Mytilus edulis: one gene and its partner. The protein of the gene in region 2 purifies or fractionates together with the protein of the main gene of each other region. This does not show direct contact. Links are inferred from orthologs where the notes say so. Each region holds a gene or a part of one and is shown on either strand. Other genes may lie near its edges.

Region 1 (12,210 bases), on a different chromosome or scaffold from region 2:
CAAATAACAAAATTGGGTTACCTATGTTGTCTAACTTCTGAAGATTTGGTAGAGTTTTCAACACAGTTTGTCTGTAGTTTTCTGTCTGATCACATGGGTTGTCTGCCAACCATAAATTCTTCAAGTTTGGCAATGTCTTTAAGTGACAAATTTCTGATAAATCTTCAATCTTATTTTTTCTAATGAATATTTCCCTAAGATTTTCACATTCTGAAAAGTCCTCCAATGTTGATATGTTATTCACACTGCAAAGAATTATAAGAAGCTAATTTATTAATAAAACATACAAACAATTTCATTTTAATGATAGGTCTATACTTGAATTGTCTTTGAAAACCAATAAAATTAATAAAAAAAAAAATGCATTTGAAAAATGCATTAACGTCAGATTTCACCAATTGGATACAGGATTTATGAACCCCAGAAATGGATTTAATAGGCATTTGTCCCTTATTGTGCCGATCATTATTTCAGCTATATTTAGTATTCAAATTATTATATTCAAAGCTTTTTAACAATCATAAGAGAAAGAGAGGCAACACATTCTAAAGAGACATTCCAACTTAAAAGTTCTTGTTTCTCGTTTTTTATATATAGATTAGACCATTGGTTTTCCTGTTTGAATGGTTTAACACTAGTCATTTTGGGGCCCTCTATAGCTTGCTATTCTGTGGAAGCCAAGGCTCTGCGTTAAAGAATGTACTTTGACCTATAATGGTTTACTTTCACAAATTGCGAATAGGATGTAGAGGTTTCTCATTGGCACTCATACCACATCTTCTTGTATCTAATGTATCAATTGACAACAGCATGACAATAAACAGTACACAAAATGAATTTCATTATTTATAATTTTTACATTGATCAAAGACCACATTTACACCTGCTGGCTTAAGCAAGTGTCATTGAAAAGATAAAAAAAAAACCATTATAGGTTCATTGTTGTCAAAACAACATAACATTTTAAATCACTGTCAGATTCAATATTACTCACAGTACATGTAGATTTTAATTCAAAAATCTTGAAAATCTAGCTTTAATTTATAATAGGGTGGTGATCTTGAAACTACAAATGTATCTTAGGATTACATTGTAGCATGTGTTTTAAGATCATCTTATGGCAGACACATCTTTGTCCTACATGTATTTCATGTTCTCAACCATCTCTTAACTTAAGATATTGCATCTTCCCTCCTAACTTTAGGACTCCGAAATTAAGTGTCCTAAGATCATGTTAAATGGTTATGTGAAGATTAACATGCAATGAAACTTAAGAGTCTATCCTAACATTGGTATAAGGATCCATGTGTCCTATATGTAGGATGAATCTTAGGATATTTTCCAGAACACCACCCCTGTTTTTGTGTTAGTACTTTAACAAGTCTTTTTATAGATAGGAAATATGGCCTACCTTAAGCTACATACTTCTAAATTTGGAAGTTTCTTCACAACACTCACATCTCTAATTCCTGAACCCCTGTAAAAAATAAAACTATGTAAATGTCATAAATACACGAAATGCACACAATTCTTTAATGTTATGATCATGCTGATGAATGACCTGACTTTATTAAAAACAATAAATTTAATGTTATATCAATTTTCATGTATATGAACCGTTATCAATGCTATATAAATTTTGTTGTTTTATAAAAGTCAGGAGCCTGTAATTTAGTGGATGTTGCTTGTTGCTGTGTTACATATGTTTTTCATTCACTATTTTGTACATAAAATTGTTAGTTTTCTCGTTTGAATTGTTTTACATTTGTAATTTCATGGCCTTTTATAGCTGACTACAAATTTATGTATATGCAGTATAGATTTAATCATTATTGAAAGGCCATACTGTAACCTACAATGTACATGTATAGTTGATAATTTCTGTGTCATTTTGATTTCTTTTGAAGAGCTGTCTCATTGTCAATAATACCAAATCTTATTTTTTATACTAAATATTTGACTGAACAGTTGATTTCATACATGTATGCCTCTTCACTAGCCAAGTGTTACAATCTACTCCCCTGCACTCCATCCTTGGCAGATTAAGCCAATATTTGTATTAACAATGTTGGGCCATCTATCGGTTGATTAAAGTTACATACATTCTGAAAATACATTACTCTTGACCAATGATAGCGCTTGAACAATGAAACGCTGTCATCAGGTAACGTTTTTTCATAACAAACAATTATTTTTATCTAGGTGCTCCGCAGGGCGCAGCTATATACGACCCCAGTGGTCGAACCCTGAACAGTGGGGGCAAATTTGGTCACAATATTCAAGCTTGATACTGTCTGAATTTGGATTGTGATCAATTTTTTTTTTTACATAATATGGGTTTTTGTCACAAAATTAATGTGGTCAAAGATCTAACAAATCTATTGCACAATACTGTGCAATTGAATATTTCTTCTTGAAACTTTTCAAAATTTAAAATTTGAAAATTTTTGAAAAAAAAGGAATCCCTTTAAAAATGGTAAACAAAAAATCCGCACCCCCCACTTTTTGAAACCCCCATTGGAGTAATAACCCTTAAACTCAATCCCATGCTTTCTTTTGTAGTATTGAACCTTGTAGTACAATTTCAGAAAGATCCATACACTTAAACACAAGTTATCGTCATGATTGTTTGGAAACTAGAAACATGCTTCTTTTTGGCCCTTTTTAGGCCCCTAAATCCTACATATTTTGGGCAATTAACCCAAAACTTAATCCCAGCCTCCTCTTTGTTATATTGTACATTGTGGTACAATTTCACAGAGATCCATACAAGTACACACAAGTTATTGTCTGGAAACTAGAACAATGCTTGTTTTGGCCCCTTTTTGGCCCTTAATTCCTAAACTTTGGCCCCATAACCCTGAATATGAATCCAAACCTTCTACTTGTGGTTTTAAACATTGTGATATAATTTCAGAGCAATTGAAATACTTGTACACAAGTAATTATCCTGAAACTAGAAAAAATGCTTGTTTTGGGACCCTTTTGGGCCCCTAATTCCTAAATGGTTGGAACCATCATCCCCAAAATAAATCCCAACCTTCATTTTGTGGTATTGAACCTTCTGAATTTTTTTTATAAAGATCTATTTACTTTAACTAAAGTTATTATTCGGAAACCAAAGTGTCTTCGGACGACGCAACGTAGACAACGACGATGACATCGTACCATTAAACGATCCCAAATTTTTTTAATCACAGTTAAAAAATCGTTTGTAATTGTGTCCCGTGAGGCTATTTAGACAGTTTTCACAGTGACCCATTAGTCCAAATAATTGACATCTTGAAAGGTTATTATAATTTTTTTCTTTGACGCCTTACGTCGAAGTAAGGCGTCAAATAAAAAAAATATAATAGCCTTTCAAGACGTCATAATTATTTGGACTAAGTGACCCTAGCTGCGGAACCGTAGCTCTTAGGTCCTAAGAGCTACGGTTCCGCAGCTAAAGTGACCCATAAGATACACATGTACAAAATCTTTCCTTTTCTTTCTCTCCATAGTTTTTAAGAAGAAAAATGGTAGATTTAAAAAAAAATATTTGTTGTATGTTTCTTGCAGTGAGAACTTTTGGGTGTGTGATTCTAACTTTAATTTAAATTGAATCATGAGGGGGGGCTAGACCATTTTCGGGACGCCGGGATTGGCCAATTTTATCAACGGGAAATTGGGATTGCCTTGTTTAAAGATCGGGAATTCGGGATAGAAAATCATCGGGAAATTGGGATTGCCTTGTTTAAAGATCGGGAATTCGGGATAGAAAATCATCGGGATACGGGAAACCCACGTTTTTAGCCATGGGAAATCGGGATTTTTATGTTGAAATATAATGGGATTGACAAAAAACTGTACCTTGGACAGATAAAAGTGCCATTTTCATCATCTCCTTGGCGCTATTTTGCCGGCTCCGGCAAAATAGTGATTTACATAGAGTTTTGCTATTTTGCCGGTCTTAACTAAGATTTTAATATAAGTATAGAAATTAAGAATAGAAAAAAAGATAGAAACATACACTTTAATAAGGAATCTCTATACTAAAATGTCTTCTTTAAAAATTTATTTAAATTGACATTCTTTACTTTTAGAATAAGTAGTCTCTAAAAATGTGTATTTTTCAAATATTGAAAAAAGAAAAACATAAATATCAAAATTGATACTACATGTAGTACTTTTTTCTTTAATAGGAAGTCTAAAATAAAGCAAAACATTTAAATTGATACTAGTACTTATTTCTTTGATAGGAAGACTAAAATATATTTCTTATATAATAAATACACATAAGAAAAGCATACAAACCCATAAAAAAAAATAGACATTCTGATTAAAACTTTTAATAAAAAAATTATATTAGTTTTGAAACAAAAAGTAACACCCAACAATTTCAAACTGCTCGATGAGCGTTACTAAACCTGTTTCTTTTGCGTCTGCATCACTTTTGCAGACTGAAATGCAGATAATTAATATACATTTTAGTTTTCAGCATTCATAAAATCATAAAACAAATGCTGTCAATGGCTAGATTTCTATGCATTGTGTGTACAATAATTTTTTTGTATTAATCTTTTTATCTGGTTTTCATGATTTTTGTAGTCCTCGTTTCACAATTCCTCAGTTACACATAGTTGTCGTTTTCAAATTGCTCTAAAACCTGCTGAAGCTTTTCATATCTGTCGAAAATCAAGTTTGTTTTATAACATCACATTTTGTTGTTTTCTATTTTGAACGTTTAATGTTCAACAGAAATTAACGTATGTACATGTAATTAAATGAGTAGAGTTCTCCGAATTTAACTGACCAGGAATGCAAGGCGAACATTAAATTGTTCTTGACATCTAGCCACATATATCATTTGTGCATAAATAGTTTCCTTAAAAAATATATTTCATATCATCTTGATTAAAAATCTGAAATAGGACAGGCAAAATAGCAAAACTCTAATTGAATCTCTATTTTGCCGGAGCCGGCAAAATAGCGCCAAGGAGGCTATTTTGCCAGAGCCGGTAACATAGCACCTAAGAGGCTATTTTGCCAGAGCCGGCAAAATAGCCACTCCCTTCATTATACTTCAATCAGAATCGTATCTAGAAACAGAGTAGATCCAGATCTTATTGTTATTTTTGTTTTTTTGAGTGCCATATTTAATATCCACTGTACGCGAATGAAATGCTAACCAAAATTCATGATAAATGTCTAAGCTCCTTGGTATTAGTGTTGCTCTGATTTAGAGTATCAGTATACCCAAAGAGTGTGGTAAAGGTTTTTTTCGTGCAACGTGTTTTACCATTTTTAATTCACAACCTTCCGTGAAAAAAGTTTTTGCTTTACTGTGAAATTAGTAAAAACGGCAACGTGCAAGCATTTTTTAAAATTTTTTCGTTCATCGTGAAATTGGAATTTTATTTCGCGTTTGTCCGTGAACATAACACCTCTTTACAACCCTTCCCAAAAGTTAGACTTGATTTGGATATTTCTTGATTTGGATATTTTCAATAAGAGTAAGACCTAAAAGAAAACACATATGCCCCCATATATATATCTACCCTAATTTTAAGTACCTATAATCTAACTCTACTCTCAAAAGGTTATTGGATGTTATGTGGACAAGCACTTGTTAAGTCAGAATTTTTCTACCATATGAACCAGTCAAAAACGTTTAAAAAAAAACTATTTTGCTTTCCTACCGATCCTATTTTTTTAGGGGATGTTACCTGAAACACATGTATTTTTTTCTTCGCCTTTTTACTACACATCTAATTTAACAGACACAGTCTTCTCTATAATCGAATATTATATAAAAATATTTCTGGCATTCTGCAATTAATTTTGAAGAAAACAAATACCCCAACTTGACGTGTTTAAAATGTACATTTGTACGTACTAAATATATTGGTCAAAATGCACAAATTGAAAGCAAATAATTAAGAACAACATTACTCAAAGGGGTTAATTTTTAAAGTTTACCAGGACAGCCTCCTTTAAAAGTTGTGTCAGATGTTTCTATTCGTTATCTTAAATAGTGGAGGACCTCTTTATTAAATAAATGGTGATTTCTTGCTTATCGGGATCGGGATTTTTAACAAAATATGTCCGGGATTTCGGGATTTTCTGATATTAAAACCGGGAAATCGGGATGAGACCCCCTCTAGCCCCCCCCCCCCCCCCCCCAATCATCATTTCAACTCATCACTCATCATGTTTAAAAATAATTAAAAAAATACCAAAAGTTGAGCTTTTTCACGCTTTCAAAATCAGTTGCTCTAGTTCTTGCGAGGACAAGTGCTTCACTTAATCTGTCTTTGGTATATTCACATTCCATTTCTTTTCTAAAACATTGAACAAAGGATTCAACTGTTTAAAGAAAAATTGTTTATCCTCACAACTGAAACGGAAATTCGAATAATAAACTACAAAGTCGATTTGTCATCGAAAAGACACGAACAAATTCCGGATATAATTTTTCTTATTTATTGTTTTTAGTCTATTTACGCGTTGATAATTATACCATATCATATGCATGTATTTATAAATAAATCAACTGGATAACACACTAAATAAAAAATATAACTATAATATATATAGAGAGTAAAACAATTGTGAATCTTGATTTTACTTTTTGAACACACTTCATTTCGGTCTTCAGACTTTCTTTTTTAAGAAATCACATGACATACACATTAAATCAACACTTCCTGTAGGACTGTCACGAAATTGAATATATATGTCAGATTGATATGAATATTTGACTTGGATACTGTGATGACTCACGTAAGCAACTACAATGATGTTGCTGAGGGTGGAAACAAAGACCATAATCATTACCAATCAACTCACAATAACACAGTGTCATTAACATCAGAATTATTAGTGGATTTCCAACCTTCTCAAACAGAAAAGGAATCTTCCAACACAAATTCTATAAACCACATTCCAGACAATCAAGATCATGACAATATATCTGACCTTGGTAATAGCTACTCCAGCTTTGGTCGAGAGAGTATTTCAAACCATGAAGAACGATTGGCTGTCCCAGTCCAGTTTGATCGGTCGGACAGTGACAGCCCATTGTTGGACCAATGGCACTGCCATAACAATGATAACAATAACAATGACAAAACTGCAAGAAATCAGTTGATTGCTGTTTGTACCCTTTGTGTAATGTTCATGATTGGAGAAGCTGTTGGTTTGTATTCTAAATTAGCACTATACCCTCTTTAGTCTAGTACATTTGTACATGTAGATCACATTCATTCTGTTTCAGAAACCTAAGTCTGCTGTGTCAACTACTTAATTACAATCCAAATTCAGAGCTGTATCAAGCTTGAATGTTGTGTCCATACTTGCTATTCAGGGTTTGACCTCTGCGGTCGTATTAAGCTGTGCCCTGCGGAGCATCTGGTTTTTATAGTTTCCTATATTCTTATAAAACATGAGAAATTTTTTTTATGTACATGTTCATGTACAAATGTATGCACATGAGTCCAGCTGATGGAGAATTAATTAATACATTATTAACAGCTGGCACAACATGACATAAAGAACAAATATTCATGTACAAATGTATGTACAAAATGTAGGGCACCGGTGTCATATGGTATTTTGAACCCCATGGTAAATTGACCCCGGGGTCAAAATACCGCTATGGTAAATTGAACCCCCCCATGGTAAATTGAACCCCCCCCCCCTGTATGGAAAATTGAACCCCCATGGTAAATTGAACCCCCCTGTTTTTTTCATCCTAGATGAATATTAGAACATTTTACATTATTCTAAAGCTTATCATAGATTAAAAAATCATTCATACAAGAAGGGGAGGTACATTTTCCATGCTTAATTAAAAGAAATATCTTTGCTTGGTATAAGTGCTCTGAAGTCTTTACCAACAAAATGTCATTCAAAATACTTATTGACACATTATAACTAGACCATATGTAGCTTGAATGCTTTAATTATTTGTAATTATAACTTATGTATATATATATATATAGAAGGGTAGTTTTGATTTTCCGTGGTAAAAAAAGGGGGAGGGGGTCAAAATACCATGGCAAAGTAAAATTTTCAAAATATCTTTTCCAGCAAGTTAAATACATACAACCTACTTATTGGTGAATTCTAACTACATAAAAGAGTTAGAATTGCCAGATTTTTTGGAAATTAAAGGCCTAGAGTAGGGGGTTCAGTATACCGCAGGGGGGTCAAAATACCATGGCAAAGTAAAATTTTCGAAATATCTTTTCCAGCAAGTAAAAGACATACAAACTACTTATTTGTGTATTCTAACTACATAAAAGAGTTAGAATTGCCAGAATTTCTGAAATTAAAGGCCTAGAGTAGGGGGTTCAATATACCGCAGGGGGGTCAAAATACCATGGCAAAGTAAAATTTTCAAAATATCTTTTCCAGCAAGTTAAATACAAACAAACTACTTATTTGCGTATTCTAACTACATAAAAGAGTTCGAATTGCCAGAATTTCTGAAATTAAAGGCCTAGAGTAGGGGGTTCAATAAACGCAGGGGGGTCAAAATACCATGGCAAAGTAAAATTTTCAAATAATCTTTTCCAGCAAGTAAAATACAAACAAACTACTTATTTGCGTATTCTAACTACATAAAAGAGTTCGAATTGCCAGAATTTCTGAAATTAAAGGTCTATAGTAAGGGGTTCAATATACCGCAGGGGGGTAAAAATACCATGGCAAAGTAAAATTTTCAAAATATCTTTTCCATCAAAGTTAATACATACAAACTACTTGTGTGTGTATATTAACTATATATAAGAGTTAAAATTGCCAGATTTTTTTAATTGTCTATTAGTAAGGGGTTCAATATATCGCAGGGGGAAAAAACCATGACAAAGTAAAATTTCAAAATATCTTTTCCAGCAAGTTTAATAAATACAAACTACTTATTGGTGTATTCTAACTACATAAAAAAGTTCAAATTGCCAGAATTTCTGAAATTAAAGGTCTAGAGTAAGGGGTTCAATATACCGCAGGGGGGTCAAAATATCATGGCAAAGTAAAATTTTCAAAATAACTTTTCCAGCAAGTTTAATACATACAAACTGCTTATTTGTGTATTTTAACTACATAAAAAAGTTAGAAATGCCAGAACTTTTTAAATTAAAGGTCTAGAGTGAGGGGTTCAATATACCGCAGGGGGTCAAAATACCATGGCAAAGTAAAATTTTCAAAATATCTTTTCCATCAAAGTTAATACATACAAACTACTTGTGTGTGTATATTAACTACATATAAGAGTTAAAATTGCCAGATTTTTTTAATTGTCTATTAGTAAGGGGTTCAATATATCGCAGGGGGAAAAAACCATGACAAAGTAAAATTTCAAAATATCTTTTCCAGCAAGTTTAATAAATACAAACTACTTATTGGTGTATTCTAACTACATAAAAAAGTTCAAATTGCCAGAATTTCTGAAATTAAAGGCCTAGAGTTGGGGGTTCAATATACCGCAGGGGGGTCAAAATACCATGGCAAAGTAAAATTTTCAAAATAACTTTTCCAGCAAGTTTAATACATACAAACTACTTATTTGTGTATTTTAACTACATAAAAAAGTAAGAAATGCCAGAACTTTTAAAATTAAAGGTCTAGAGTGAGGGGTTCAATATACCGCAGGGGGGTCAAAATATCATGGCAAAGTAAAATTTTCAAAATAACTTTTCCAGCAAGTTTAATACATACAAACTGCTTATTTGTGTATTTTAACTACATAAAAAAGTTAGAAATGCCAGAACTTTTTAAATTAAAGGTCTAGAGTGAGGGGTTCAATATACCGCAGGGGGTCAAAATACCATGGCAAAGTAAAATTTTCAAAATATCTTTTCCATCAAAGTTAATACATACAAACTACTTGTGTGTGTATATTAACTACATATAAGAGTTAAAATTGCCAGATTTTTTTTAATTGTCTATTAGAAAGGGGTTTAATATATCGCAGGGGGTCAAAAAACCATGACAAAGTAAAATTTCAAGATATCTTTTCCAGCAAGTTTAATAAATACAAACTACTTATTGGTGTATTCTAACTACATAAAAAAGTTCAAATTGCCAGAATTTCTGAAATCAAAGGCCTAGAGTAGGGGGTTCAATATACGGCAGGGGGGTCCAAATACCATGGCAAAGTAAAATTTTCAAAATAACTTTTCCAGCAAGTTTAATACATACAAACTGCTTATTGGTGTATTCTAACTACATAAAAAAGTTAGAATTGCCAGAATTTTTTTAATTAAAGGTCTAGAGTAGCGGGTTCAATATACCGCAGGGGGGTCAAAATACCATGGCAAAGTAAAATTTTCAAAATATCATTTCCAACAAGTTTAATACATACCTCGCCATGGTATTTTGACCCCCCTGTGGTATATTGAACCCCCTTCTATAGACCTTGAATTTCAAAAATTCAAGCTATTCTAACTCCTTAACATCATAATAATACTCCAATAGGTAGTTTGTATGTATTGAACATGATAAAAGATGTTTTGAACATTTTACTTTGCCATGGTATTTTGACCCCCCTTCCATCATGTCCATGGTATATTGAAACCCCTACTATAGACCTTAAATTTTTTTAAATTCTAGCAATTCTAACTTTTAACATTGTAATAATACTCCAATAAGTAGTTTGTATGTATTTAATATACTGGAAAAGATGTTTCGAAAATTTTGCTTAGACATGGTATTTTGACCCCCCTGCGGTATATTGAAACCCCCTACTATAGACCTTGAATTTCAAAAATTCAAGCTATTCTAACTCCATAACATAGTTATAATACTCCAATAAGTAGTTTGTATGTATTTAATATACTGGAAAAGATATTTTGAAAATTTTACTTAGCCATGGTATTTTCACCCCCCTGCGGTATATTGAACCCCCTACTATAGACCTTGAATTTCAAAAATTCAAGCTATTTTAACTCCTTAACATAGTTACAATACACCAGTAAGTAGTTTGTATGTATTTAATATACTGGAAAAGATATTTTGAAAATTTTACTAAGCCATGGTATTTTGACCCCCCTGCGGTATATTGAACCCCCTACTATAGACCTTGAATTTCAAAAATTCAAGCTATTTTAACTCCTTAACATAGTTACAATACACCAGTAAGTAATTTATATGTATTTAATATACTGGAAAAGATATTTTGAAAATTTTACTTAGCCATGGTATTTTGACCCCCCTGCGGTATATTGAACCCCCTACTATAGACCTTGAATTTCAAAAATTCAATCTATTCTAACTCCATAACATAGTTATAATACTCCAATAAGTAGTTTGTATATATTTGATATACTGGAAAAGATGTTTTGAAAATTTTGCTTAGACATGGTATTTTGACCCCCCTGCGGTATATTGAACCCCCTACTATAGACCTTGAATTTCAAAAATTCAAGCTATTTTAACTCCTTAACATAGTTACAATACACCAGTAAGTAATTTGTATGTATTTAATATACTGGAAAAGATATTTTGAAAATTTTACTTAGCCATGGTATTTTGACCCCCCTGCGGTATATTGAACCCCCTACTATAGACCTTGAATTTCAAAAATTCAATCTATTCTAACTCCATAACATAGTTATAATACTCCAATAAGTAGTTTGTATATATTTGATATACTGGAAAAGATGTTTTGAAAATTTTGCTTAGACATGGTATTTTGACCCCCCCTGCGGTATATTGAAACCCCCTACTATAGACCTTGAATTTCAAAATTCAAGCTATTCTAACTCCATAACATAGTTATAATACTCCAATAAGTAGTTTGTATATATTTGATGTACTGGAAAAGATATTTTGAAAATTTACTTACATGTAGCCATGGTATTTTGACCCCCCTTCGGTATATTGAACCCCCTACTATAGACCTTGAATTTCAAAAATTCAAGCTATTCTAACTCCTTAACATAGTTATAATACTCTAATAAGTGGTTTGTATGTGTTAAACATGCTGGAAAAGATATTTTGAAAATTTTACTTAGCCATGGTATTTTGAACCCCCTGCGGTATATTGAACCCCCTACTATAGACCTTGCATTAAAAAATTCAAGCTATTCTAACTCCTTAACATAGTTATAATACTCCAATAAGTAGTTTGTATGTATTTAATATACTGGAAAAGATATTTTGAAAATTTTACTTAGCCATGGTATTTTGACCCCCCTGCGGTATATTGAACCCCCTTCTATAGACCAT
Region 2 (12,210 bases):
TATTCCCTTAACAATGCAACGTTATTAAAGCGTTCAGCTGATTTTACAGAGTTATCTCCCTGTAGTGTTAGGTACCACCTTAAATCCTAATCTGTTTATACATAATAATAATTATTTTCAATGAAAAGCATGCACAAAACCCTTATGCATATTTTACTGTAAATAATATAGATATAAGCTCACCTGGTCTTCAGGGAAAAGGAGGCCTCTCTGGCTGCTGATCTTATGATAAAGGTCACCTAAAAAATGAAAGTCAATCATAAAAAATTAAATTTCAAATTGTAACTAAACTGCAGAACAATATTGGATAGGAGTTTTTTTAGCCTGTAGTTATTGTTATGATTATTGCTCACAGCTGATCATGATTTTAAATTTTAAAAAGAAATATTCTATAAGAATGTCATTATGAATATTATCAATAAAGTGGACCATAGTCCAATGGTTTCAGTAAAAGCAATCTTTAGTCAAAACTTATTAATACCTGGCATGCTAACAGGAGAAACCCATTTCAAATGGTACCACTACATTATTTCAAATGATTCATTTTTATAGCACTGTCATGACTGTTCGCCTGAATTTGCAGAAGAACACTAAATAAGTGCAACATGTTCATTGAACAAATGAGTATGAGTTGTTTACATGTAAAATTTCATCATATCATGAACACACAGAAAGACTTATTATATTTCACAAGCTTCATTAAAACATACCTTTCTCACAAAAGTCCATAACAATATGTAAATACCCCTTTTCTGAAAAATAAAAATAAGAAAATATTGCAGTAAGATGCTATTTAATATAAGTTATTACTACAATCAGTACAATGGGAAACAATAACCCCACTAATTAATTGATCATAACAATAGAAGTTAACCATTATAGGTCAAGGTATGGTCTTCAACACAGAGCATTGGCTCACACAGAACAAGCTATAAGGGGCCCCAAAAAATTACTAGTGTAAAACCATTCAAATGGGAAAACCATATCCATGAATATCACAATATGTATTGTAATGATAAACATGATAAATATACATTGCCACCCCTTAATAAACTTTATTAAAAAAAAATAGATATACTAAAGCAGATTCTGGCAATTATGCCAGTTTTGAATATATTGTACCGATAAAAATATCTCAAAAATGCCATACAGATAAAATAAACTTACCTTCAAAAGATTCTCTGTATCGTACAATATTTGGGTGATGTAACTGGGCCAGTACTGAAACCTGTCATCAAAAATAGTTAAACTAAGATATTTTTAGGAAAGTGTCAAAATAAACATCATATAAATGAACACATGAATTAGCATGATGAGTGAATACCTCATCGTTTGTTCATTGATCAACAAACACATCAATAAATGTTCAAAATTCATGAATTTAAGTAATTATATTAATTGCATAGCAATATATTTCCCACAGAAAGTAACCAACATTTATCGCACAATAAATTCTAATATTGCACTCATGCAATAAATCTTCAAAAATCATGATGTCATCAACGACAAAATCTTACTTTAAACCAATTTTTACTTCAAATATTATATTGCTATGCAATAAAAGGGTTATTGCATGAATAATAGGGAATATTGTCCCTCGTAGAACATATATTGCACTTGCAAGCTCGTGCAATATAAAATTCTACTCAGGACAATATTCCCCAATATTCTTGCAATAACCCTATAATATTATATGAAAATAACAATAAATTATAAAAATTGAATAGGAGTTCCATGGCTGCATTCGCATATATACTAAATAAATGGCAAATGTTTTCATATAACTTTATAAAATAACATAACTTAAGTTCAGTAAAAGTGACACAACCCAAATTCCTACTTGATCTGAGTTTAGTGGTAATAAGCATTGTGCATATAAGTTTCCTAACATTTGGTTGAGAAAGGAAACAAGAAAAATTCAGAAATTTTTCCATTTGTGAAGGGGCATAACTCTAGAAAGTTAAAGTGACATCACCCTAAATCAAATTTGATCTGTGTATTGTGGTATTGTAATAAGCATTGTATATAAGATTCATACCATTTTATTGAGGCACACTTACATGTATATAATTAACAGGCTTAAATACATGAAATAAGAGAAATGAAAAATTCAGAATTTTTTTTATTTGTAAAGACCATAACTATAGAAAAGTAAAAGTGACATCACCAAAATTCAAACATGATCTGTGTTTGGTGGTAATCAACATTGTGTATTTGATTGAGGCAAACTTAGGTTTTAGAGCAGAAAGGACAGCGGACAGACTAACAAGGGTAAAACATAATGACACCTTCACTACAGTGAGGGAATAGCTATCATTGGCTGTTGGCAATTCTGAGAGATTACTTTGTAGAAAACAGACAAAATTTACAACTACTGGATTGACAAATTGTAGCTACAGCTGTATATATCTGAATATTTTAACAAATAAATTGTATGTTTGGCAGACCATATATATATGACATGTTTGATATAAATGAATTCAAGATTTATGAATATGTTTTTTTATAGAGACAAACAACTTTTGTAAACATAGTAAAGATAGTTACCTCCTTTCTAGCATCTTCTCTTTCCTTTGCTTTCATCTGAGGAAACAAAGAAAGTTATTAACATATGAATTTAACTTTTATAATCATGATAATAGACAGTTCTTTTTATTTTAGAACAGAAGAAAGAATCTTTTAACCCATGTACAACTTTACACTGGAACACTATACTACATGCCACCAACAGTGGTTGTCTTCAAGACTAGCTTAAGGTAGATTGATGGTATACCGCCATCTTGGATTGAACAATCACAGTAAAAAATCGGTCTAGTTATTTGCCTAAATCTGCAAATTTGGAGACAGATTTGCAATTTGATGGTTAGACTGTTTAATAATATAAAGAAAACTTGGCAATTTATTGTATAATTCAAAATAATTAAACAAATATCATTTTATTTTGCTTTTTGAATCATTTTTTTCAAATGAGCCATTTAAGGGAAGATAACTCTTTTAGTAAAAGATTTATACTGGACAGATAGGTAATTTTTTTCTTTTTACTTGTAGCAAGAAAATAAGTTCAGTGACACCATTTTTTCTTTTTATTTTCTTAAAACATATTACAAAACCTATCTTTTCACAATTTATTTCAAAATTCTATCTCATAGATTATTTTTTATGCACACAATTGTGTTTTTCCATTAACAATCTAACCAAATTTAGGCAATTTTCAACGACTCATAGCTTGAAAAATAGCACGGTGACCCCTACTTTTTATTATTTTTTTGAAAAGAGCATATTAAAATCTTCATTATGGCTAAGTATAAGAAAATTCTGTCTCAAAAAAGATTTACTTATGATCTACCTTAAATGAGATGATCTTGACCGCTACCATCTAAGGATCTTTTTAATTTCAATGTAAAATGAATATACAATGTACATGTATATCACAAACCTCTCTGTTGTTTTATTAGTTATTACAATATGTATCTAAAATTGACAGAATAATCATCATGATCATGCAATGGTAAATTTTCTAACAACTACAATAATTTCATTGGCACATACTCATCAACAATAAATTATCTTATAAATTACAATAGTACTCCAAACTGACAACAACACTTCAAATCGTCTTCAATTTTATTTGCCATGTTTGCTATAACAACAACAACAACAACAACAACAATACTTTATTTCAAGAGGGTTACACAGTTAGCTATATAACTAATCTTCCCTGAGGCCCTCATCATGAGAAATCAAACAAAATGCAAACATATACATTGCATACATTAGTATAAAAAGTCAAGTATGATAATTATGTTTAGTACAACTTGATAAAATGTGATGTAAAAAAAATAAACATGATGACATGATCAGTTTTTAATATTATTGATACAGCTAGGTTGATTTCAATAAATGATCTGTTATTTTGTATTTGAAAGAATTAACATTTGTAATATTTCTTAACGGTATTGGCAAATTATTCCACAAGAATGGTCCAGAATACATAAAAGATTTTTTGAACAATTCTGTTTTTGGTTTAGGGAGTATGAGGTTTCCTTGAACAGCATTTCTCAAGGGGTATGGATTTCTGTTTGAAACATAATGAAACTTGTTAGTAAGATATGATGGGGCATTATTTTTAATGCACTTAAATGTCATCACTAACTTATGATATTTTATTCTCTGTTCAACTGTCATCCAGTTTAAGTGTTTGAATAAGGGTGCAGAAGGAGCGAATGGGTCTGTTTCTAGTATTAATCTAGCAGCCCTCTTTTGTAATTTTAATATCCTTTTTTAAATACACCAATCTAAGATTCTTCCTAGCTATGGTCTACATGTTTCACCTGCAAGGCAGGCTTCATCAGGACAATTTTTATACAGAAATTAATCCCTGAAGTACTCAAAGTGGTGCATAAAATTTGACGTCGTCATGGTGAGAGAAACAATGAAAAGTGAAAGTAGCAATACAGAGTTATATATAGATAAGATAAATATAGAAAATTAAAGTTTGTTTAAAATGTAACTTGAGTTTGTTTTACTATTATATGATACATGAAATTGTTCTAAGGCTTGGTATCTAATTGGACGAACTTCCCATGGTTCCTACCACTTCGCAAGGCTTCTCTTCCAACCTTGCCTTGTGTATTATTTTAATGTTGCATTCATTTGACAACCCTGCATACCAAGGTATCCACTTCAGGGACTCTATCGAAATGATTCACACAGGCGTTGGTCATGTTGGTACACCTCATGGAGTTTAATTTTATAAATTACAAGTATAATCATGATAATACATATAATAGAATTTATCACTTTTATATTTCGGAATCAGTGACACTTCATTACTTGAACAATAGCATGAATAGACATGATAGACGTCATACAACAATCACTTTTCCTTTGTGGTCCTAGACATTATCTATCGTGACATCAAAATTTAGGAGAAACCTTTGTGATTAAGGACAAATAGCGATTAATGGTGCATGATAATGTCAATACTCAACAGACGAATTTCAAATTTGTGCTCTTTCCCCTTTATTTTCTTTGCCACAATGCTAATGTTATTATGTCAATGGTCAAAGTAGGAACCAATTATTCAATTAAGTTGTTTACACCATTTGAACTTAAGGACAACTACTGCAACTCATTCATAAAAAGAATCTTAGATTGGTGTACTAAACATGTGTAACCGGAGAGCATGTACAAATGTATCTACTCTACAAATTTATATCGTCACCACTGGGATTCAAACCCCAGTCGCCTGTGTGATAGTCAGTTAACCCATTGAGCCAAAGAATTGATTCCCTAGCTCAGTTGATTAAGACTGGCTTTATATGTTCTACTTGTACTAAGGAGGGGAAGCAACCCCGCTACACATGGGTGCCTCTTAAAGATCGCCGCTGCAAAGACCGACTCACCATGGCATACAAGATCCACAATTGATTGGTGGATATTGACCCCTCTAATTATTACAAACCCGGAGATTCAACAACCAGAGGAGGCCACCGCATACACCAACAGCGCACACTAAAAGACCAATACAGGTACTCCTTCTTCCCAAGATCAACCAGGGAATGGAACACTCTACCGGAAAAAGCCACAATAGCAGCTACACTAGAAGGGTATCAGGTCCGTTCGCGCCCAATATAGTTTCGCACCCTACACGTTTGCACCTCACATTTTCGCCCCCCACGTCCGTTCGCACCCTACATGTTCGCGCCCAATTTTTAATAAAATTTAAGTTAAATTGTTAGAAATTATTCATATGAATATAACAAATAATTGTATTCTATTTGAATAAAATTTGAGAATTTATTGAATAGATTTTTTTTTTATCAATCTGATGATTAATTATTAAATGTTGATTATGTATGATTATTGCTAATTGGTATCAGAGACGTATTATATGTCTCTGTTGGTATTTATAAACAGCCTAATTGGTGTTATTGTTTACTGTTGTTTATAAATCATGATTGTTGTTCTAAATTGCTTTGATGTAAATACTAATAAAATAAATATTAATCATAGCAATACACTTACCATGCATAAAAGCAGCAGCATACCAGTTGTTCAACATGTTGTCAGATTCGCACTTAATTGACTAGAACCAGTGAAAAACAAATTATTTCAATACACTAACCAAAACACGATTAAGAATTATTCAACTCACTCCGACTTTAAAACAAGGACTTTTTTTTTATAATCTTGTCATGACACAAAAAAACTTGTCAGTATCTCGAATTATTTAGAAACAATGGCATATATATTCATACCAATACACCTCCAAAAAATCGGTAAAATTGGGTGCGAACGTGTGGGGTGCGAACGAACTTTTTGCAAAATTTGGGTGCGAACATGTGGGGGGCGAATGTGGAAGGGTGCGAACGTGATTGGGTGCGAACAGACCCGGATTCCACTAGAAGAGTTCAAGGCCAGCCTTACCATCCTGCCAGAGGCCTTGACAGGAGCTTCACACACCTAGATCTCCTTTGACCCCAGATGTACATAGTTTTATTTGTAAATAATTTTCCTGTAAATAGTTTTTATTAAGTGAGGAGGGAAGGTCTCATGATTTCACGAGCAAGAGTCATTTATACACTCAAGAAGAGTCAGACTCTGTACTGAAAGAAGAAGAAGAAGACACATGCTAAAATGTATACTGTACCCTCAACATTTGAATTTCTTTAACGACATACTGCTGACCATTACTTTTATCCCTCACAAGCAATGCTTTGCCAAATGCTCCTTCGCCTATACTTTTAATTTTGGTGTATTTTTCCATGTTTATTTACTTTTTGATAAATTTATTTTTCTTTCATTACTTTCGATTTTCTTGAGATTAATTAAAAAAATTCTGATGGACCATGATGTAAAACTGTATGTTATATAACTAAATTGAATTTGGTTTAAATGTCTTGGTGGGTACAACTATAAAGAAAAATTCATTTCATTGAAATATTCGATGTAAAATTATATTTCGTAAAAGTGGAATTTCAGCGGAAGTGTACAAAATCACGGTCTCACTAATTAGCGACAACAAGAATTTTAGCGACAACAAGCGTCAACAAGCGACAAGAAGCGACAACAAGAATTATTTTAGCGACAACAAGCGACAAGAAACTATTTAGCGACAAGAAAACATTTTTTTGTAATTAAAATTAATTATTGCAATGAATTTTAAAAGAATATGCAAAGAAAATAATTTTAGCGACAAGAAAGTTAAAATTGATAGAAAAAAATGAAACATTATTTACATAATATTTTATCATCTATTATGAATAACAGCCAGTATTACGTTTAATCATTGTATTATGAGATTACTTTTCCTTGTGTTTTAGAACATATTATTTATCTTATAATTTGTTTTTTAAAACTCTTTTCGTGCAATATGTATTAAGCTCGCAAAATGAATTACTTGTGCATCATTGTCCTGAAAATATTGACACAAATTGTGAAATACAAAGAACTGAAACCAAACAGGAGGAAAAGAAAATTGAAATGTGAATGTTTTCATCTTTTTATTTGTTTATTGCCTCATTAAACGATATTTATCATGTTTATGCATATTGATTGAAGATGAAAGGAAATTAATGACAATCTTGAGTTTTCAACAGGTGTTCACTATTTACAATGATTGTATATTCTGGCGCGTGTAATTGTATAGTCTGACGCGTGTACAAAGTTGACGGTGTTAATTGGATGTTATTGTACACGCTTAAATAATAAAGATGGCAAAGCGTGGCTGAGAGTTCTACAAATAAAGCATCGAATTGACATAACAAGAGTACACTTAGAGCATAGTATTAAGCAAATGAATCAAAATATTATATTCTATTATGCCCGCTCCATATATATCTCCATTCGTTTATTCATACTTTGACTTTGATGAAAACAGATACATACATTATTTTATACATATTCTTCATATTTAAAAATAAAAAAAAGAAGCTCAATCTCTTTCTTTTTCACAAAAGTCAAATTTCTTCTTCTACCAATATACTATTTAAATATAAACTTCACAATCTCTTTCTTTCTCACAAATGTTTCATTTCTTCGTCTATCTATATAATAAAACATTTTAATTAGACATATCTGCTCGTATATTTAAAAAACCCATTAAATACAAATTTCTTTATATCTAATAAAAAAAAAATGTTTTATTGTCGCTAAATAGTCTTCTTGTCGCTTGTTGTCGCTAAAATAATATGTGTTGTCGCTTCTTGTCGCTTGTTGACGCTTGTTGTCGCTTCTTGACGCTTGTTGTCGCTAATTAGTGAGACCCCAAAATCATCCATAGTTTCGTTAATACAAATTTAAGATTTTCATAAAAAACGAACATAACAATGTAACATGTGTAAAAGAATAGTATTCTTTCTAAATTCAATATCGCTGCCTCTATCAATTATTTGATTTACCAAATATTTCTGATACTCATTATACTTATTTTATATAATAAATATTTCCAAAATAGTTGTCTTCGTTTCACCATTTCATCTTACATTTACAAACCAGCTGAAAATGGCGTCTGCTAAAGCACTTCGCTTTGGACAGAGTTTAAAAGAGCTGAGAATTCATTTATGCCAGAAATCTACAGCAAGTCAGGGTGTCAGGTTCGAACCTAATATAATGAGTTCATATTTAAAATAACATAAGCTGCTCATATCTTGCAAAATCACTTGCAAAATTGCATTTCTTTATAAAGACTTACGAAAAATAGAATGTGACCTTCACCAAAAATATCTTCATTTTAAAGTAATTGAACAAGTTCTTTATACTATGACCAGGGTTTAAATGTTTTGAGAGAAATGCCGATCAAATACCCGTCCAGGAAGGTTTCCATGGCATAGACAATGTAGTAGATACTAGTACTACTGAGTACTGTAAGTTAGCCGAATCCAGGTCCGTTCGCGCCCATTCACTTTCACACCCACTCATGTTCGCCCCCTTTCATTTTCGCACCCAAAGTCCGTTCGCACCCTACAGGTTTGCGCCCAATTTAATTGGTTTTGTGTTTAATACTTTGTAATCAAGTTTTGGCAAGTGTATTCTTATAAGTATATTTGTTGTCATTGTCTCAAAATAAAGTAAGACAGCATTTTTTTTTGTGCGTTGAATAAATCTTAATCGTGTTATCGATAGTGTATTGTTGAAAAAAATAAAAATCCTTTCTAAATAAAGTGGGATTCTGTCAACGTTTTATTTTGTGTTGAACAACTCTTAATCATGTTTTGGTTAGGTGAATTGCAATAACTTTGTTGCATTGACTTGTTTCAGAACAAATTGAGATTCTGACGACGTTTTTTTGGGGGGTGTTGAATAAATTTGATCATTTTTTGGTTATAATAGTGCATTACTATATTTTATTGTTTCATTGTTTATGTTGTTTCAGATCAAAGAGACCAAGCTGTTAAAAAAAATGATCATTTGTGTTTTTCATTTAAAATCTTCAATGTTTTACTCATACCAAGCTAAATATATTCAGTATTTACACCATAGCAAATTTAAAACAACAATCATGATTTTCCAATCATTCAACTGGAATTTGAATTAAAATTGGGCGCGAACGTGTGTGACAGAATATAAGTTCCCCCATAATATATGTTCACACGGTTACATGGAAATGTAACAATAATAAAATAATTATTGTTACATTGAAGACTAATTGCCGGAATGCAGGGCTGGGTAAGGAACCCATTAATTACGAATTTAACAATAGTAATTGAGTCTACGGTTTCATTAATTGCGTTATTTTTACATAAATACACTTCAATGTACGCTGGGACTAGTAATGTATCAGTTTTTTGGGCATGTTTTAGTCCGACGTATTTTGGTGAAACCACTCTAAGCAGCCTTTATACATACAAGTGATGCAGCAATGTGCACGTCAGTATTGCATACTGTACAATTCCATTCTGCACTAACGAATGACTATTGTGGATTATTATATGATTTTATGTTCACATCGCTCTGATTTCAATATCCAACTTAGCATAGCTGAAAAACTTATAAAACTTAAAAGTCAATTTGAATGCAATTAATGTTAACAGTTGCCAACATTCATTCGTTAATCGTTGTTCTTAATTGGCGAAAAAAATAAGCAACAAAACTAGGGAAGGCTAGTTTAAGTTTAATTAATCTACCGTACGTTGAAGTGCAGTAATGCAACAATAACTCAATGTAACCGCAGACACAAATATTATTGTTACATTCGTAATTAATCGGATCCGTACCCCATCCTGTATTCTGGCAATAAGTCTCCAATGTAACAATAATTATTTTATTATTGTTACATTTCCATGTAACCGTAACCAGTGCCTTGTTTTAAATTGATATGATGTAAAACCTGCATGTATTTAGCTTTGTATGAGTAAAACATTGAAAAATTTAAAAGAAAAACACAAAGGATAATTGTTTTTAACAGCTTACCACTTTGTTCTAAAGCGATCATTAAACAAAAAATTATAGCAATATACTAACCACAAATGAACCAAAAAAGATTAAAATTTATTCAACAACAAAAAAATTAGTCGAATCTCATTTTATTTAGAAACTATATATTTTTTTAACTATACACTATCCAAAACATGGTTAAGAATTATTTATTACAAAAGAAACGTTGTCTCACTTTATTTTGAGACAATGACAACAAATATACTTATAGCCATTAGGAATACACTTGCCAAATCATGACTACAAAGTTATTGAACACAAAACCAATAGAAATTGGGCGCAAACATGTAGGGTGCAAATGTGTAGGGGGAGAGAGTGAAAGGGAGCAAATGTGAATGAGCGCGAACGTTCCCAGATTCAATTCTTCTTTAGCTCAGTCTGTTAACAGGCTGACTTGTAACACAGAGGTCCCAGGTTCGAGTCCTGGTGGAGACAAGCAATTTTCAAATGAAAATCATGCGCTCCTGCACAACTACTGTCCTTTGACTTTGTACAAAAAGTTGCTTCAAATTCAGAAATCAACAGTATTAACACTCAAAAAGACTTAACAGGTATGGACTTTGACAAAGTCCCACACCAAAGACTCATCGTTTTTATTTGAATATACACATACATGTGAAAGTCATATACAAATCTATCAAATCTAAAAAATAGTTATTGGTACATCCCTCAACACAGAGCCTTTTCTTTCACTGAACAGCAAGCTATTAAAGTGGCTCAAAATGACCAGGGTAAAAAAAATTCACAGTCCAATAAAAAAAGATAATTTTTAATTGAGAAACACTTTTATCTGAAGAATCTGTAAAAGTCCAGTAGAATCTCACTTTTGGTTGACGAATAGTTTAAATTCTAAAAAGTTAATATTTAATGAAGTCAAATTCTATAAAGTTAATATTTTATGAAGTCAAAATTCATAACTAGACTGGTATTTAATTTCTTCCTTATGCTAATGATAGTCCATTCCACTCATATGAACCACATCAATAAACTGAATGACAGGTTCCTGACTGCTTGAAGTCCAGTGACAAATTATGTTTTACTATTCAAAACATTGAATAAGGTGAAGTAACTTTCCAATGACAGGAAAATCAAAATATATACTTATATGTTGTAATACATTGTATATTTTAATGTTGTTATTTCAGAGAGTTCATAGAGAATTACTATGTTGGTGTTAAGCAGAGTAACCCTAAATTTCCTATTTTAATTAGAGAATGTAGTGGAGTACAACCAAAAGTCTATGCTAGATATGGTTAGTTATTTTTTTAGTTTTCTTTAATATACATGTACATGATTATTTTTTTGATATATATATATACTAGAACACACCCGCGAAATCGCGGGCATATACAGCTTGTGAACTGTTGTAGGATGATTTTTTGTAAAAGATAATTTCATAAAAGGTATCAAAAGCGCTCTACCTTTTTCCAAAGTCAGATATTTGATTCCTTTCTGTTAAATTCAATTATTTTCGTGTTTCTTGCCTCAGACCACAATTATTCTTCTCCTTTGCTACAATACTTTTTTTGGTCAATAAACTCATCATAGATACCAGGAATAAAATTTTACACTTATGCCAGACGCGCGTTTCGTCTATAAAAGACTCATCAGTGACGCTAGAATCAAAAAAGTCAAATCAAATTAAAAATTTGCTCCGTTTCAAAACATCAAATAAATGTAACTGCTTATATATATAGACCTTTATAAGTCTAATAAAATATGCTTCAAGGACAATCCATCAGTGCTTTTTCTTTTGTGAGCATTAACATGCCA

The links.
Region 1: the proteins of serine/threonine-protein kinase Nek1-like (region 2) and cilia- and flagella-associated protein 410-like purify together in Homo sapiens (affinity purification with mass spectrometry; 3 studies listed by BioGRID and IntAct, with this or other methods). This does not show direct contact. The link is inferred for Mytilus edulis from reciprocal best matches to the Homo sapiens genes NEK1 and CFAP410.

Annotation. Positions count from the first base shown.
Region 1 is NC_092345.1:36,557,052-36,569,261, forward strand, and holds the start of cilia- and flagella-associated protein 410-like, read right to left. Parts: upstream 6,397-12,210; 5' UTR 6,314-6,396; coding exon 6,216-6,313; intron 1,478-6,215; coding exon 1,412-1,477; intron 246-1,411; coding exon 22-245; intron 1-21. Other genes in the region: proton-coupled zinc antiporter SLC30A2-like, read left to right, coding at 6,754-7,177. UniProt on the Homo sapiens protein: Plays a role in cilia formation and/or maintenance. Plays a role in the regulation of cell morphology and cytoskeletal organization. Involved in DNA damage repair.
Region 2 is NC_092351.1:3,607,111-3,619,320, reverse strand, and holds the start of serine/threonine-protein kinase Nek1-like, read right to left. Parts: upstream 7,014-12,210; 5' UTR 6,770-7,013; coding exon 6,653-6,769; intron 2,584-6,652; coding exon 2,548-2,583; intron 1,229-2,547; coding exon 1,168-1,228; intron 753-1,167; coding exon 711-752; intron 240-710; coding exon 184-239; intron 1-183. Other genes in the region: NADH dehydrogenase [ubiquinone] 1 alpha subcomplex subunit 2-like, read left to right, coding at 8,506-8,597, 11,583-11,689. UniProt on the Homo sapiens protein: Phosphorylates serines and threonines, but also appears to possess tyrosine kinase activity. Involved in DNA damage checkpoint control and for proper DNA damage repair.